Linked DNA regions of Lytechinus pictus. The protein of the gene in region 1 binds, or shares a complex with, the protein of each later gene. Links are inferred from orthologs where the notes say so. Each region holds a gene or a part of one and is shown in the gene's direction. Other genes may lie near its edges.

Region 1 (8,249 bases):
CAATTTTGATATTTTTCCTGCGCAAAATTTTGTATGAAGAGAGAAGAACGTCTCGTTTAAGTTTTTATTCTTTTAACCAAAAGAGAAGGGAAAAGACAACAAAGCTATACCTTTATTCCATTTTCTCCTTTCGCTTTTTCTTTTTCTCCTTCTTTTGTTTTCTTTTTTGTAGCGTTTTTTTTGGGGGGACCGCCCCCCCTGGCTGACCGCCCCCCCTGGCTACGCACCTGCATAATGCTCCTAACAAATAAGATGCATCCTAGAAAAAGCAAAATTCTTGCACACAAACTTTTACTTTTGCATGTTAAGAGAAATGTATATTAATTTGTTAAAATGGCAATAGTTAATTTGTCAATACACATATGTGAGCATATATCTTGGGATCTATGCCCCAATGAAAATATAATTTCACTCAGCAAATGTATATGGAAGTCTGTGTTTTTATTTTGTTACCAAAAGAAATCTATTTGCAAATAAAACATAAAATCATTTTGATAAAAGTTACACACACAGAAAAAAAAATATGTAAATTGTTTATTTTTTTTACTTTACAACCACTTCAATCTTTTGATTTTTCTTATCATTTAAATTGATCAGATTTTTTCACTAACTTTGTAAAGTACAATAATGAGATTTCACTTTACAAAAAATCACCAAAACTTTAATAAGAAACTGGAACAGTTAGCCCTTCCTTTGGACCCCCCCCCTAATTTTTCCTTATTTTTCCCCAAATTTTGTAGCAGCTGGCAGCCAGGGCCAGTACTACAGAAAGTTTTCGAGGCACGTGTCAACTTTCTAAAATCAATACGCACACCCAGAGCAGTTGAGCAGTTCAATGTCATTGAAAGAGCTTTAAAGCCTTTGTTATATCTCATGGATTATTGTTTGTGATGGTTGGATGCACAGAACAGATGCTTTGAAGGGAAAATCTAGGTCCGAAGTGAGAACCAACATGGAAACTATTGTGTAGACTTGAGAGATCTGATTGATCTGAGATTGATATGGAAATAAAAATTGATGACATAATAACAAATTTGGGGGTGTTTCTCTAGTGGTTACTGAGGATATGATTTGTCGAGTCAAGCCCCCTACCCCGAAAAATTGTTATTATAAAATGCTTCTGGAACTTCTCTGCTTAAGTGCTTCAAATTATTCTTTTCTAAATCTTTCAGTTCTACTGAAGAGGAATCACAAGGATCTGTTCTATTGACTGCAGCAAGGACAATAGAATGATTATTTTTTTCAAGAAACATTAATAATTCCCAATATTTTTCCCCATAAATGCCAGTCACAATTATCATAAGTAGCCTAATCATAAGCAATATCATGTTATTAATATTCCCATTCTAAGGGCAAGGCCACTTGTCCACAGGGCACATTATCTACTAGTACACCATAAATAGGGAATTAAAATGGGAGTTAAACAATAAAAAAATGAAAACAGGAGTACCAGTACAACAAATCTTCAAGGCCAATGAGAGGGGCTTCAAAGCTAATCAACAGTGCATCCAAGTCATGGTGTTTGAGGCCTTTAATATTGGTATAATTTCAGTCCTGAATCATGATCACAATTACCAGCACGGCACAAAATATGGGGGCTCAGGCGAAATCGCCCAAAAAATGCCCCAATAGCCCTGGAAAAATTCAAAAGATCCCCTGATATCCCTCTAGAGTCCAATGAACACTGTGGCAAATGTGACGTGTCAAACGAGGGCTGGTGAGCTAAAAAAAAGTAACCCCAGAAGATTAATGATTCATACCTAAAAAACAGTAATCAATATATTTATGTTTGTTATGTAATAAAATACAAATTTTTGCCAACCAAATTTGGTTATCATAAGAGAAAATCTCTCAGCTAAGTCCTGTACAGTGTAAAAATCTGCTACATAAAAAATACCTTTTCTGTTTCAGTCTATAAAAAATGTGAAGCAAAATGCAATTTGATACCAGGAAAATTATTCACAATATAATATAACCACCAGCATCACAATAATAAAAATATCAAAATGATTTGCACAATCATAATCTTCAATTTCATTATGATGAAATTGATGATTATGCACCATGCACCATAATCATAACTTATCATCACCATCATCATCATCATCACCACCCCACCGCTATCATCATAACCATAATCATCACATCATTATCATCAGCAATCACTGTCATCATCATCAGGCCACCACCACCACCACAACCATCACTGTAACCAGTGGCGGACCGTGACCCGGAGGAGACAAAGCATTGGAGGGGCACAGCATTGTTCACAAATAATACCATGAATACAGTGCCCCTCCAATGCTTTAATTGTCTCCTCCGGGTCACGGTCCGCCACTGACTGTAACATTTCATCTTCACCATCATCATTTTGGTACAATCTCCGAAATGCCAGGAGTTCAATCACTTTACCATCATATTCTCAGTTTTTATCTCTCAAATTGTGTTTGACTTCCCCACTTTCAGTTTTAACATGAACATCAATGTTCGATATGCGCAGCGCGGCGTGTGGGTAGAGCGGAAGAACGAATATCACCTGTATCCCACAACGCTGAGACCAACAACCCCGGAGTTCCCCGCGGAGTACATCCCAATCCGCATCACATGCACTGTATTATTAACCTCCAAAATCTAAGCAACATCATAAACTTAAAAACGACGAACTGCAACAAAAAGGTTACTCACTGAATTATCTGCATTCGTTTATATGTCAAGATGGATCTCTTCCTCTGTCACATAAACAGATTCAGATGTTTGTTATCTTATTTCAGCGTAATTAAAGATAAAAGTTCACCGAATACAAAATTTGCCAAATTGACTCCAGGATTGACTTCCAGCTTCTACACACGTAGCAGACGATAGAAAACCTGCGATATCTGCTATATCGCGATTTGCCTATGTTGAGGGCGTAAGTGCAATGGATTCGAATAGAACATGCAATAGGCTTCATTGCTTTTGATTTTCATTGATTGGGGGGTGTAATGTTAACCCGGAATGTTAAAGGGATGGTCTAGGCTGAAAATATTTATATTCAAATAAATAGTGTAAAATTCACAAAGCAAATTGCTGAAAATTTCGTCAAAATCGGATAACAAAATAATTGAATTTTAAAGTTTATAAATATTTTGTGAAAACGGTTATTCGCACATCGTCATGTATATTCATTAGGTGGGCTGATGATGTCACTCCCCACTTTTCTTTTTCTTTTGCTATTACATGAAAACATAAATGTTTCGTTTTTTCATACATGTGTAAATAATGTGTCTCCATTATGATGAAATAAGTTGCGGCAATAAATAACTAATGCACTTAATCAGTTGTCAATCCACTTGTTTTCGTTCTTGGTAGAAAAATTTTGAATAATCCTAATTTCATATAATAAAATACAAAAGAACAAGTGGGGATATGACATCATGAGCCCATCTAATGAATGTTCATAAAGACTTGCCTAGAAATGTTTCACCGGAATAATATGCAAATGTTTAAAATTCAATAACTTTGTTATTTGTTATCTGATTTTGATCAAAATTTCAGCATCTTGCTCCGCCGTAAAGAAGAAGAAAAAGGAGAAGAAGAAGAAGAAGAAGAAGAAGAAGGAGAAGGAGAAGAAGAAGAAGAAGAAGGAGAAGGAGAAGGAGGAGGAGGAGAAGAAGTAGTAGAAGAATATAAGAAGAAGAATATTAATAATAATAATAATAATAATGATAACAGTAATAATAATAATAATATAGCAGGTCTATTGCTTCAGTGTTGAACAAGTCAGCTATCATGCGATATAGGCCTAAACTGCTGACATCGACAAATTTATCAGAATGTCATGTGTACTATATGCCCATACTCATAGCACTCGGAGACCGGGGCTCTTGAAAATGAAACAAATAGAATGACAGTCGATCTTCACAGGAATAATACACACACAAAAGAAAATATATTTTTATTTTCCACTGCACCTGCTTTTGTGTGAGTGCTGTGGTGAACAATCAGCACTGCATATACTCGAAATTAGACATTTCATATTTTGTATTGTTACACCTCTAGCTGTGAGCTAAACTCATTATTTATGTGATGCCATTAAGAACTAGACAGTGAGAGAGTGGGAGACACAATTATAGTGTCATTTTTTTCCTAGGCTTTTTTATGGAGTGGGTGTTTAATTTCACTCAAAATTGTGAGGAGTAGACCTATATACCTGCGCCATTCCGAATTCTGAACAAAACTCATCTCATCCATTATAAATGCATTCAATACATACCAGTCCCGAAAGCTAACAAATTGTGTTCTTCGAGTGATTTTTTAGGTTATGGGCCCATTATTCCTAGGGAGTGTTGCAAGAAAATATTTGCAATTAATTGTAAATGTTACAAGTTATAGATCAATTTTAAGAAAAGCAAATCAACGGTATTCTTGTTATACAAGGAGAAGACAATTGCAAATTTGCAATTAATTTCAAGATTTAAAACTGACATGCAATCGATTGCAAAATTCTTGCAACATCCCATTAAAATCGCTCATTAGAAATACAAATAACGAAATAAGCTTCCAACTGGTTATCCTGTTCAAGCCTATGATTTTAACGCTACTGTATACATGTATGGTGACTTGGAAAATAGAAGCAATCAATCAATCAATCAATCGATCAATCAATCAATGTGGTGGTGCCATGGCCGAGTGGTCGAAGGCGCCTGGCTACACATGGAAAGTCCGGGGTTCGATCCCCGGCCGCGGCACCTATGCCCTTGAGCAAGGCTTTTATTCTACAATGCTATTTTATCCTGTTTTCAAATAAATGGAAATGCTATATTCATTATTGGTAACTAGGTGTGCAATTGTTTTATTAAAAAATCGATGATAAAAGTATGGGTGAGAACAGATGATAAGAATAGTGGGATGAAAAGAAGTCATCAAAAACCTAAAAAGTCTTTGATTCAATGTTACTCTGAAAGTACATGTAATCCTACAAAGTAAGTTAGATGTTCAGAGAATTCTACAAAATACAAACAAAAAACGTATTCAATAACAAATCATAATTGTAAAAATTAACCGAAAAAAGCACTTTAAAAATTAAGTTGAAAAATGAAAAAGATAAATATTTTTACCAAAAACTAAACTGACTAATTATAAGCGATACCGTATGCCTTTATCGCCTTGCTACTTTTATTTTCGGTCGGTAATTTCAGTTTAAGAAAGCAGCACAAGCGATGGCGGTGAGCAAAAGCGCAAACACCTACAATCGACTGAATTGGGAAGAAGCTGTAAGTATTTTACGAATTAATTTTATCTTATTTGGGTCATAATGTGAATCTTCATTATTCCCTCAAGAATTTCATCAACATTCCGTTTGATTTCATGTAAGATTTACAAAGATCCATGCTATTTTGCAATCTCATGTTGTGGAGTAATTTTTGGTTGTACTGTCCCACCTGTTGGTATTCGTGTATTGGTTTCTGTGATGAAGAGAAAAGAAGAAAAAAAAGTGGACGTGTGTGACTCATTGCTCATTGAAGCTAATTGACAGAAATGTCGGTGCGAAAGCCTAATTTTTGCTTGAATGTAACCATGAATATGGATGGAATATATAATCTGAATGTCAACTGTGTGACTGATAGGAAACGTCAGCTGAGCTTGCTCAAATCTTTATGCTTTCGCTTTCGTTTCGGCGTCAACATGAAATGCAGTTCAGCATGAGCAGTTACATGATGTAGTTTGAGGTGCACAAGTCTAGAGTAGCCATTAGGCTCCTAGAGAGTAAAAATTCACTAATGTGTCACGGAGCCAGGCAGTAGAGGCGCATGGCCAATATGGGAGACTCTCTCCAATAGGGGAGACAATCTCCCACATTGGAGACTTGCTTTGCAAAAGGACAAAAGAAACAACACTAACAAAAGCATGATTTTTTCCACCCAAAATTTTGTCTCACTGAGGTCAGAAGCCCATTTGTTTTGTGTGTGATTGACAACAAAAATCCTTATCAAAACAAAAGTAGACGGTGAATTTTTAAAGTAGACGGTGAAAAGGGGTAATTTTTTATGAGGAATCTACTTATTACATTTTTATTTGCCGCCAAGGTAATCCTTTTGAAGCAAATGTAAACAAAGGAAATTGGACTCCAAAACTGGAGACTGTCTCTAAAATTGGATACCAAAATTCTTTACAAAAGTCTCTGATATTGGAGATAATCTCCCACATTGCAGATAGTCTCCAATATTGGCCGTGCGCCTCTACTGCCAGGGGTTGTGCCCATTAATCATGCGCGTAATGTTGTAACCCGCACCCGTTGCGGTACGGGTTAACCTGCCGGTATGCCCCCGATCGCGGGTTGCGGGCCGGGCCGAGTTCATTCTCAAACCCGCAGACCGTCATGCCAAAAAAAAGGGAGAAGTAACGACGCATAATAAAAACATTAACAAAATAATAAATGAAAATTGAGTTAGGATCATGTGCTTCTTACGTGGCGGATTCTTTTAGAGACGTAGATATTTCCTTTAAAAAAAATGCTGGCGTATTTTTGTCTTGTGAACAGTGAACAGAACTGAGACAGTTCGACATAAATACATCGAGTTGCTCTTTTGAAGAAGGAGCGCGCGCGCCAGTGCAGCGCAGCACAGTCTAGTCAAAAGCAATCGCATAGGCCAATGAAACTCGATGTCGAGTTTCCCGTCCCATTTTTTCAAGCTCATAATGAGGATTTCATTATTTTCCAGAAGATGAAAGTTTGACCTTTTGTAACCTTTGAACGCACTTTTATTCTGTGGAACTGTCTTGAAGCCAGGGAGCAAATCAATCATTTTTTTTCGGGGGTTCCATTTTCATTTTTTGGGTAATATTTCAGGGTCTCCATTTCTACCGTTTTGGAGGCTACTTTTTTCATTTTGGGGGCTCTTTTCAAATGCTACGTTTTTGTATTTTGAGGAATCCCTGTTCACTTATTAAATTAATTATTACTTATTGTTTAATATTGAATGATTTTAAAGTTATTTTTTTTCATGCTTAGAATCTTGGATGTGGGTGTGTTTGTGTGGGTGTGACTATGAGTTGAACTTGGATATAAATGAATTCAATATCTAATTTCTACTCCATCTAATTCCAGTACTTGGCCATGTAATAAAGGCCCACATACCCTAACTTTTCCTGATGTTCTTTGAAAACGCAGATCTCCACGAAAATTGCATTTCTCTATGGGGGAGTCTAAATTTGGTGAGAATGAACTCATTAATAACTTAAATATACATGACAATGAAGAAATCATCTAACTTTATTGGCAGTTTTGAATAATATTCCCGAAATATAAACTTTACAGAGCGAATTGTCCCCCAGAGCTCTGGCAGAGAGACAGAGCTCAGACTGGCTAGCTAGTACAAGCGCCAATGCGTACGTGCGTGAGCCTCCCGTCGGCCTTGTAAAACAGATTGAGTTTTGTTTGATGATTTTTTTGTCTGATATGCCGTATGACAACTCACCAATGCGAGGTTACTAGACTATGGGATTTATTGAGGTAGCTCGACCAAACCTCGAGCGATGTTCGTGCAGGCTCCACTCCACTTCACTACCGCTACATCGGGTAGGTAGAGCGTAGTGTAGCAGAAGTGAAGTTGAGTGGAGCCTGCGCTGCACGAACATCGCTCGAGGTGTGGTTGAGCATGCAGTGTCATTCCATTCACAAGAAAAAAACAAGAAAAGAATTACAGGTATTTACATGATATACAAGTAATTGTGACTGAAAAGCTTATATTAATGTTTTATATCAGTTCTGAATCTATATCTATGTCAAAATAGTAAAATAATGAATTATTTTCAGAATTTGATTTTTAAACGCGGTCCAAATTTCATAACGCGGGCGGGCGACGGGAAACCGAACATCGAATTTGCTGGGCAGCCTGGGCTACATGTAGCTAGCGCGCGCTGAGCTGCGGCTCCGATCCGAGGAGTTAATTGCGCAATGCTTTCGATTACGAGATCAGAGCCGACCCATTTCGGGTACAAAGTAACCCCCAAAAACATTTTCTCTCCGGAATAAAAGGCAAATTTGCAAATTGTAAGTAAATTCACTCTAGGCTAGGTTAGTAGTTGGCATATATTTTCGTGATTTGAGCCTGTATAGTGTGGGGATTGCAGAAATAATTTTCACTTTTCAAAGATAAATTTACTTGCGGGTTAAAACCCGACGGGTCAGCGGGTCCCGCTTGCAAATTATTGGATTATACGGGACGGTACGGTTCGGGTTTTCACTTGCGGGTTACAACATTACATGC
Region 2 (7,398 bases), on another chromosome or scaffold:
GTCTTTTTAGTGATCTATCAATTTGCTTTAATTGTTAATGGATTAAGGCTGGGAAGCTAGACACAGCTATGTACTGTATTGTACTGCTCTTTGCTACTGATGGTTCTATCCAGTGGTGTGAGATAGGCATTTTGATACAGCTACGAACACTATTTCGGTCTGTGAATCCATTTATTCAATGGCAAAAGATGGATTTTCAGTGTGATGAAAGTTGAAAGCCTTACATGTTTTGTTACTTTCATATTTTGAGAAGTATAATGTAAATTTCGAGTGTATTCGTTTTTGTATTTTAAAAGTGATATACATGTTATGTTCTTTTATAGTGGAAACTTAATATTAGTAATATTAATGGATGTGTTCATATTTAAAGTCAAGATATTTCAACTACCTTGTATTTGAATTGATTTTTAGTTTGGCATAGGTCTGCACAAGAGAATGATAACTTTGAAGACCTGTAGATGATATTGCCCTAGACGACATATCACTTCTCACGATAGTGCAAACTTCCAACTTTTTAGGGTTCAGGGGCAAGGGTCATAGCTGTCAATCTAACACCCTTTTTCCCTTTCCTAAGTTTACTATCTTTATGTTAAATGAAGCAGCAGAAAACGAGATATGATTTGTACATCAATTACATGTATTTAATACAATATGTGAATATTACTGCTGGTGAAAATAAAAACAAATTAGTTCTGAGTAGAAGGTTTTTTTTTTAATTGTTTAAATGCTTTTGTAATAGGCCAGTTAGAAACAAACTATTTTCATCTTTCTTAACTCTGAAAGATTGATTTTTGAAAATTGTAGTTCATCATGTGAAAACAACACAAGATATAAAATGTACATTACTGATGATAATCCATGAACTTATTGCTTGTAGAATTACGAAAACAATATTCAAGCTTCTCATAGGCTATGCTCATTTTTCGACTTCCAAAGGTTTGTCAGTTCTCAGGTGGTCTTACAATTTCGTCTTAGATCAGATTTGATTTCCTTTATAAGTCGATTGAAGGATCCTAAAAGCATAAATACATAAAGGTGATTATCAATACAGTTTCTTCGCTTACCCTTTGGTGTAAAAATGTTTATTTTAATCATAGGTGCAATATGTCTGTTTATATTATAATTTCAATATGAATCGACCCAGTAGTGATTACAAAGGTCTATTGATGCTTGCTATGAGGACTATGTAATCAAGAAATTTTTGTCAATTCAATTAAAGTTAGATTTAGGACCCTCTATCACAAGTCTTGTAATCAATCGGAAATTCGCAATTGATAACTGGCGTGATTCTTGCATCAACAAATATTACCTTGCTTTACTTCAAGTCGACTTATCACTTGTAAATTTGCAACTGAAGTTGTAATTATTTTCTTGCAACACCCACTACATGTAGATGTATGTCTTATATATTTCGGCGAATTTCTCTGCAGCCCTGTTTATTTTTGTCATTGATATGATCGACACAATGCAGGATTAGCTTGTTTTAAACTCATATTGACTTGCTTGCATTGTATTGGTTTTACAGAGATACCTTCAAACTATAGATAGATACATGTTCTCTGAGAACGATGGCAGTTGAAACTGTAGAAATTCACCTTGTGTAACTCGATAACCTTTTCAGCAATCTGTTCTGTTAAAGTATGGATTTAGTTTTTGTGTTTAAAGATATCTTGCTGTTTATTATTTTTTTGTATCTTTATGTTAAAAACATTGTAAGATAAGATAAGGATTTCAAAGATTTATTGACTTTACTGATTTGATTTGTTTTTGTATTGTCTTGTTGGTTGAGGTTGTGTTTCCTAAAGTTCATAATGCTGAGATAAGGATTCCATATTTATCTCTGTATACAGTTTACAGTTAATGTCGTGTTTCCACTGCCAGGTTTGGCAATTAGATCATGTCATTTTAAATATTCAAGCTCTAAATTTGCTATTTTTGTGATATCCTAATATGGGGAAAGTGAAATTATTTAAACCCCAGTGGAGTGTTTCATAATAGTATTTGTCATATGTTTTATCCCGTGAAATCTGTTTTATCCAACTGTAACCATAGTAACAGACAGCTAAATTTCTTAGCCAATCTTAATCCAGAAAAGTGATGGACCAGACAACATGTCAGAGAAATGTTGATGAAACACATGTACATGATTTACTTAAATAAAACGACTATGAATTATTTGTAAGGTTTAACTTTAGCTTGGGTATAACTTACCACTTTGAATTTTGCTTTATAGACATGTCTTCTTCTTCAGCATAATTTTGTGATCTATCATCCTTATTCCTAAGAGTGAAGATTCAAAAGCTTACAGGCTCACAGTCACACTATGTATGGTTCACATATGGTTCAGTAAGATTCAGCATCAAATGCTTATGCAGCTGATTACATGTGTTCATGAAGTAGTAGATTATAAAGTAGAAATTTGCAATTATGACGTCACAGTACTAGGTTGAATCTCTTGGGAGAAAATTCAACTCAAAACTGATAGATGATGTGTTTTGCATATAATGTTTTGAAGTGCTGCTTGAGCCTGCTTCAGTTGTTGCTATTATTTCACGATTGGAATTACTCCAAACTGGGTGGTATTTCATAAAGCTGTCTTTGTGCGTTAAGCTACGCATGACTACGCATAACTGGAACATGTTCTTAGGTGCTCAGTCAGTTACATGTGATATATCATTTAGCCTAAGATAGGGTCACCAGTCATGTGTAAACAACTGCAGTCGTCCCAAGATTAATTGTCAAAGTACATGTACATGTGCGTCTTAGATATATTCTAACTAATTGAACGAAATAAATACAAGTGTGATGATTATTGATGCATTGTGATTTACGCGTAGATGACGACAGAAAGGTCCGAAAATATGCATTATCGCACTTCATGATATATTATCTTTAATGCATGACTGATCAGTCACAATTTGCAACTAGGTGAAAAACAAGGCTATTATTATCTCTTCCATATGAAATCAATTAACTGTGTATAATGACAGCCAGGTTAGAAGTTTTTTGACTTCAGCATCTTCTCCTTTTACTGCGTTTTATATGTATAGTGTTCAAATAATTCCTGTATACACTGTATATGTCGTACATGTACATTGTAAGCAAGCAGTGAGTGTGAAATAGGTAGGTGTGTCTGAATTATTTTCATTTTGGTAATATGTCATGGTTTACTTATAGGGATATCAGAAAAAATTACAGGACATTATTATAAAAACTAAATTCTAAATCACTTACATTTGCAGGTGTACATGTTAGAGTTCAAGAATTATGTCTGTGAATCTTCACGAAATTACATATGATGTCAATTTTGTTAACTTTGTATACCAAGTGATGGCTGTCACTTTTTAATGGAAAGAGGTATAATTATCTCTGTGGTGTCATTATTTATTATGATAGATTTATAGCAAAGCACAGGGTGCATCTATATTGATTGTAAATGTACCGTTTGTGTTACATTGTGCAAAGCACTTAAGTGGCCGGGGGATACTGGACGTCTTGTAAATAAAGACTGATCAATCATAGCAATACCTGATTTTCCTCATTCTTTGTTAAAGTCTATCTTTTGCCTGTTTCAGCACCCCCCCAAAAAAAAAAAAATTTGTGAATGTCACTATTCCAATTCATTATTAGATCATATTAATGAATGTGTCCCAAAAATGGTCATACACAGAATATTTTCAGGGGGGGGGGGGCAAAGATGCATACATTTTTTTAAACACTCCAAAGTGATCGGGGGCAAAGCAACCAACCAAGCTTGTCTTCGGGGCACTTATGCATTTTTAAAAGTGAAATTGAAGGATTTTGTGCACACTGTTGGTGAATTTTGTGATCACTTTGAGTAAAAAAATGCAAGTTTTAATTTTTTTAGGGGGGGAGGCAAACCATAGGAATCGCGAGCGTTGAGTGACAGTTAAGTTCTGAGCTAAGGCTTAATTGCAGGGATTTTTGTGGACAAAATTGGAAAATCAGTAGACTGTGGTAATTGAGGTTAATCTCCATAATCTCAGATGCATCTGAGGCTCACGATTTTTCAATTTTGTCAGAAAAATTGGCGAAGACCGCAGAATTATGATTTTTTTTCTCTTCAAATTTTGCCCAAAGAAAGCCTCCCCCCATCAAAATTATCCCTCATTGTAGCGCCCTCTATTCCAGCTGTAGCGCTATGCGGCGTTTTCACTTTTTGTAGTGCAAACGGGATGCTTGAAAGCCTTGATTTCGTCGGCCTCTTTCGTAATTCTAACTGAGAAAATATGGCGGGAGAAGTAATAGTTGATGCCTTGCCCTATGTCGACCAGGGATACGATGAACCAGGAGTCAGAGAAGCGGTTGGTATTTGGAATAATCTCTTTTTTTGGGGGGTCGTCTTTGCCTTGGCAAAACTAGACTGCGAGCGAAAGTGACTTCGGTCCCAGGTATTAATTTTGGTGTTTAGTTTTCAACTCGAGGAACAATTCTGTGACTGTGTCTTGGAGTGTGAGTGACGTGGACCTAGCCAGGAGACTCCTAGCACTAGTGACTCCTAGAGAGTAAAAATCATTTACTAGCGTATGCTTGTACTCTCCACGGAGCCAGGGATGGTGTTAACCCCATTCATGTGCGTGTACCGGGAAAAAACTGAAAGTGAAACTGAAGCCTATTCTAGCTCGGGGGCGAAAGTTTCAATTTTTTCGTGGTAGAACTGGTACACGCAAATGAATGGGACACAAAAGTCAAAAGTCACAATCCCTGGCTCCGTAGAGAGTAAGCATACGTTAGTCGTTAGCAAATGATTTTTACTCTCTTACTAGTCTTAGTCTTAAGACTCTAAGTCTAGACTAAGTTAGACTGAGAGAATGAACTGCAGCCACTCACACGTATATTGCGAGGTTAGTATTACTCACTCACACAACATGCGAGGTTAGTATACTAACCTCGCACAACACATGTGATTTCATAGTGCATTTTGACGTTTTCATTCATCACACGAATGTGAGGGACTAAACTACGCCAAACCTTTCAATATTTCTCCACTATGTTAATCTTGATCGTATGGTTTACTTTAAGTAGGGTGTCTGAAGCCACACTGAAAAGTGTCAGCATAAAACAGGCTAATTTAGGGAAAATATGGCACATTTTTTCGGGGAAGTTCAGGCTACTAGAAAAATGTGATCTGAATTGATTATTAACTTGTGTTTGGCATGTATGGAAAGAGAAAATTCAGGGGCTCCTTTTGACAGTAAGGACAAGTTTATATGATCTTTTTAAATAAGGATTTAGAGATAAATTGCAAACCCTGGCCTTATTTATGTGTGTGTTGAGATTGCCATTTCTCCATGCGTTTTCTATGGGAAAATGAAATTTCTGTTTTGCACAATTTTTTTCACTTTGTCGCAATTTTTCATTGTGATCTGGTTTCAAAATCTTTATAAAAATCATACCATCAGATAGAGCATAAAAAATCCTATTGGACTCTTTATGGACAAGTTTTTGGCATTAATAATAAATTTATAACAGCTCTCGGAAGCTAAAAATTTGGATTTGTGTGTGTCCATTTCTTAACTACACAGTCTATGGCAGAGAAATGCTGAAAATTTACCTAATTTCATTCTTCTTTTTTGCAGCCAATAATTGGATTTTTTCCAAAATGTTACATTTCTGTCAGTCTGAAGGTCATTTCTCTTCAAATTCACAAAGAAAATGTGATATTTTCTTGAAATAAGAAAAATAATTTTTTTCTCCAGACACCCTACTTTAAGGTTATTTGAAAAAGAAATTATAAATTATTTATTAAAGTGTTTTTATCGCTTACCTCCAAATCTCAACCAGGATACTTCGCTCGGTCCGTCCTTAGTCATCCTTCGTACTGCGGTGGAAATTACGCAAACAACAATCGAAATGCGAAATTTTCCTATCGAATATTCTCGATTCAAGTCGTCGGCGCATAATAGGAAATTGTACCAAAAATCAACATAGTTCTCTATTTATTCAAACAATTTTTTCTGGGGTGCACTTGACCTTTAAGAGATTTTCCAATGAAAATATTACATGGAACTTGGAAATACAAATCATAATTTGGTTGAACAAAATGTTTTCTGTTAAAGTATAAAACAGAAGAGGAACATATCCTTCACGTATTTTTATATCCAAAATATGTTGCCTTAGTATGGAATAATCACAATGACATAAAATGAAAATGGGTAAAGTACCTTCCTAATGATCATTGAGATTTCGCCTATGGAATCATTGTTTAATAATTTTCAAAGCTTTAAATAGATGAAAATGGTCATTGAGAAAATATACATGAACAAAATGATAATGTCCCGATTGTTTCGCATTACGTGTGTTAGATTGCGGGCGTTTGTGTGTGTGTGTAGGAGGCAAGATATTCGTGTTAATGTTTGCACAAAAAAGGAGAGGGAAAGGAAAAGGGGAGGGGGAAAGGTAGAGGAGAGAGAGGGAAAAGGAGACCATAAAATAGAAAGAAAACAAAGGAAAGGAAGAGGGGAAGGGAGAGAGAAAGAAAAATGGAAAGAGCGAGAAAAGAGTAGGGGAGGGAGAAAGGAAAGAAAAGAAGGGAAAGGAAAAAGGGAGAAAGGGAATGGAGGGGGCGGGAAAGGAAAGGAGAGACAATAAAAGACAGATCAGGGGAGGGGGAAAGTAGAGGAGAGAGAGGGAAAAGGAGGCCATAAAATATATATAGGTCTCCTCATCATGGTTATAAAAAGTGCTCAGAATGTTTTATTTTCAAGTCCTTGTATCAGAATTTTCAGCTCGGGCAGCTCTATCGCATTTTGATTACTATCCTGTTGATTTATTTACTTGAACAAAATATTTAAAATGTCCAGCTTTTAGAACAGATATCAAAAAAAGGTATTCACCTTTGATCATAGATGAGGAAGAAGAAAAAAGTGCAAAAAAATAGGAAACAAACTAACGAATTAATGTGACATAATTTTTCTTCATTTCAAGGCGACTCTTTACATTTCATCATCGCTGATGGCGCTACAATAGAAAATACCGCTTGACAGCCAAAAAAAAACAGAAAGAGGAAAATAATGCTGAGCGTCTAAAACGCAGCTAGCAGTACAAGCTGCAGAACAGTAAACAAACATCTTGTGAATAATATCGCGCGCCCTCTTTAAGCAAAAGTTTACAACCACGATGACCCTGCGGTATCTATGTGAAGATCACGAGAAAATGCTTTTTTTTTCTTAAAAACACACCAAAGAGAAGACAAGAAACGATCCATATGGTTCGGTAAGTGTCATAGCACAATTAGAAATATTATTTTAAAAGGAATGGCATAGTTATTTTAGTAAAAAGGGTGTGAAAAATTTGCGTGCACCATGTGCATATGAATCCTTCGCACGCGAGATGCATTGATCCCATGAGTGAGTATTACTTAGTATACTAACCTCG

Evidence for each region.
Region 2: pre-mRNA-splicing factor RBM22-like (region 1) and pre-mRNA-splicing factor SPF27-like share a complex: the UniProt entries of both Homo sapiens proteins name them as parts of the postcatalytic spliceosome P complex. The link is inferred for Lytechinus pictus from reciprocal best matches to the Homo sapiens genes RBM22 and BCAS2.

What each region holds. Positions count from the first base shown.
Region 1 is NC_087262.1:21,577,564-21,585,812, reverse strand, and holds the start of pre-mRNA-splicing factor RBM22-like, read left to right. Parts: upstream 1-5,133; 5' UTR 5,134-5,198; coding exon 5,199-5,252; intron 5,253-8,249. UniProt on the Homo sapiens protein: Required for pre-mRNA splicing as component of the activated spliceosome. Involved in the first step of pre-mRNA splicing.
Region 2 is NC_087246.1:47,381,932-47,389,329, forward strand, and holds the start of pre-mRNA-splicing factor SPF27-like, read left to right. Parts: upstream 1-4,138; 5' UTR 4,139-4,250; coding exon 4,251-4,325; intron 4,326-7,398. UniProt on the Homo sapiens protein: Required for pre-mRNA splicing as component of the activated spliceosome. Component of the PRP19-CDC5L complex that forms an integral part of the spliceosome and is required for activating pre-mRNA splicing.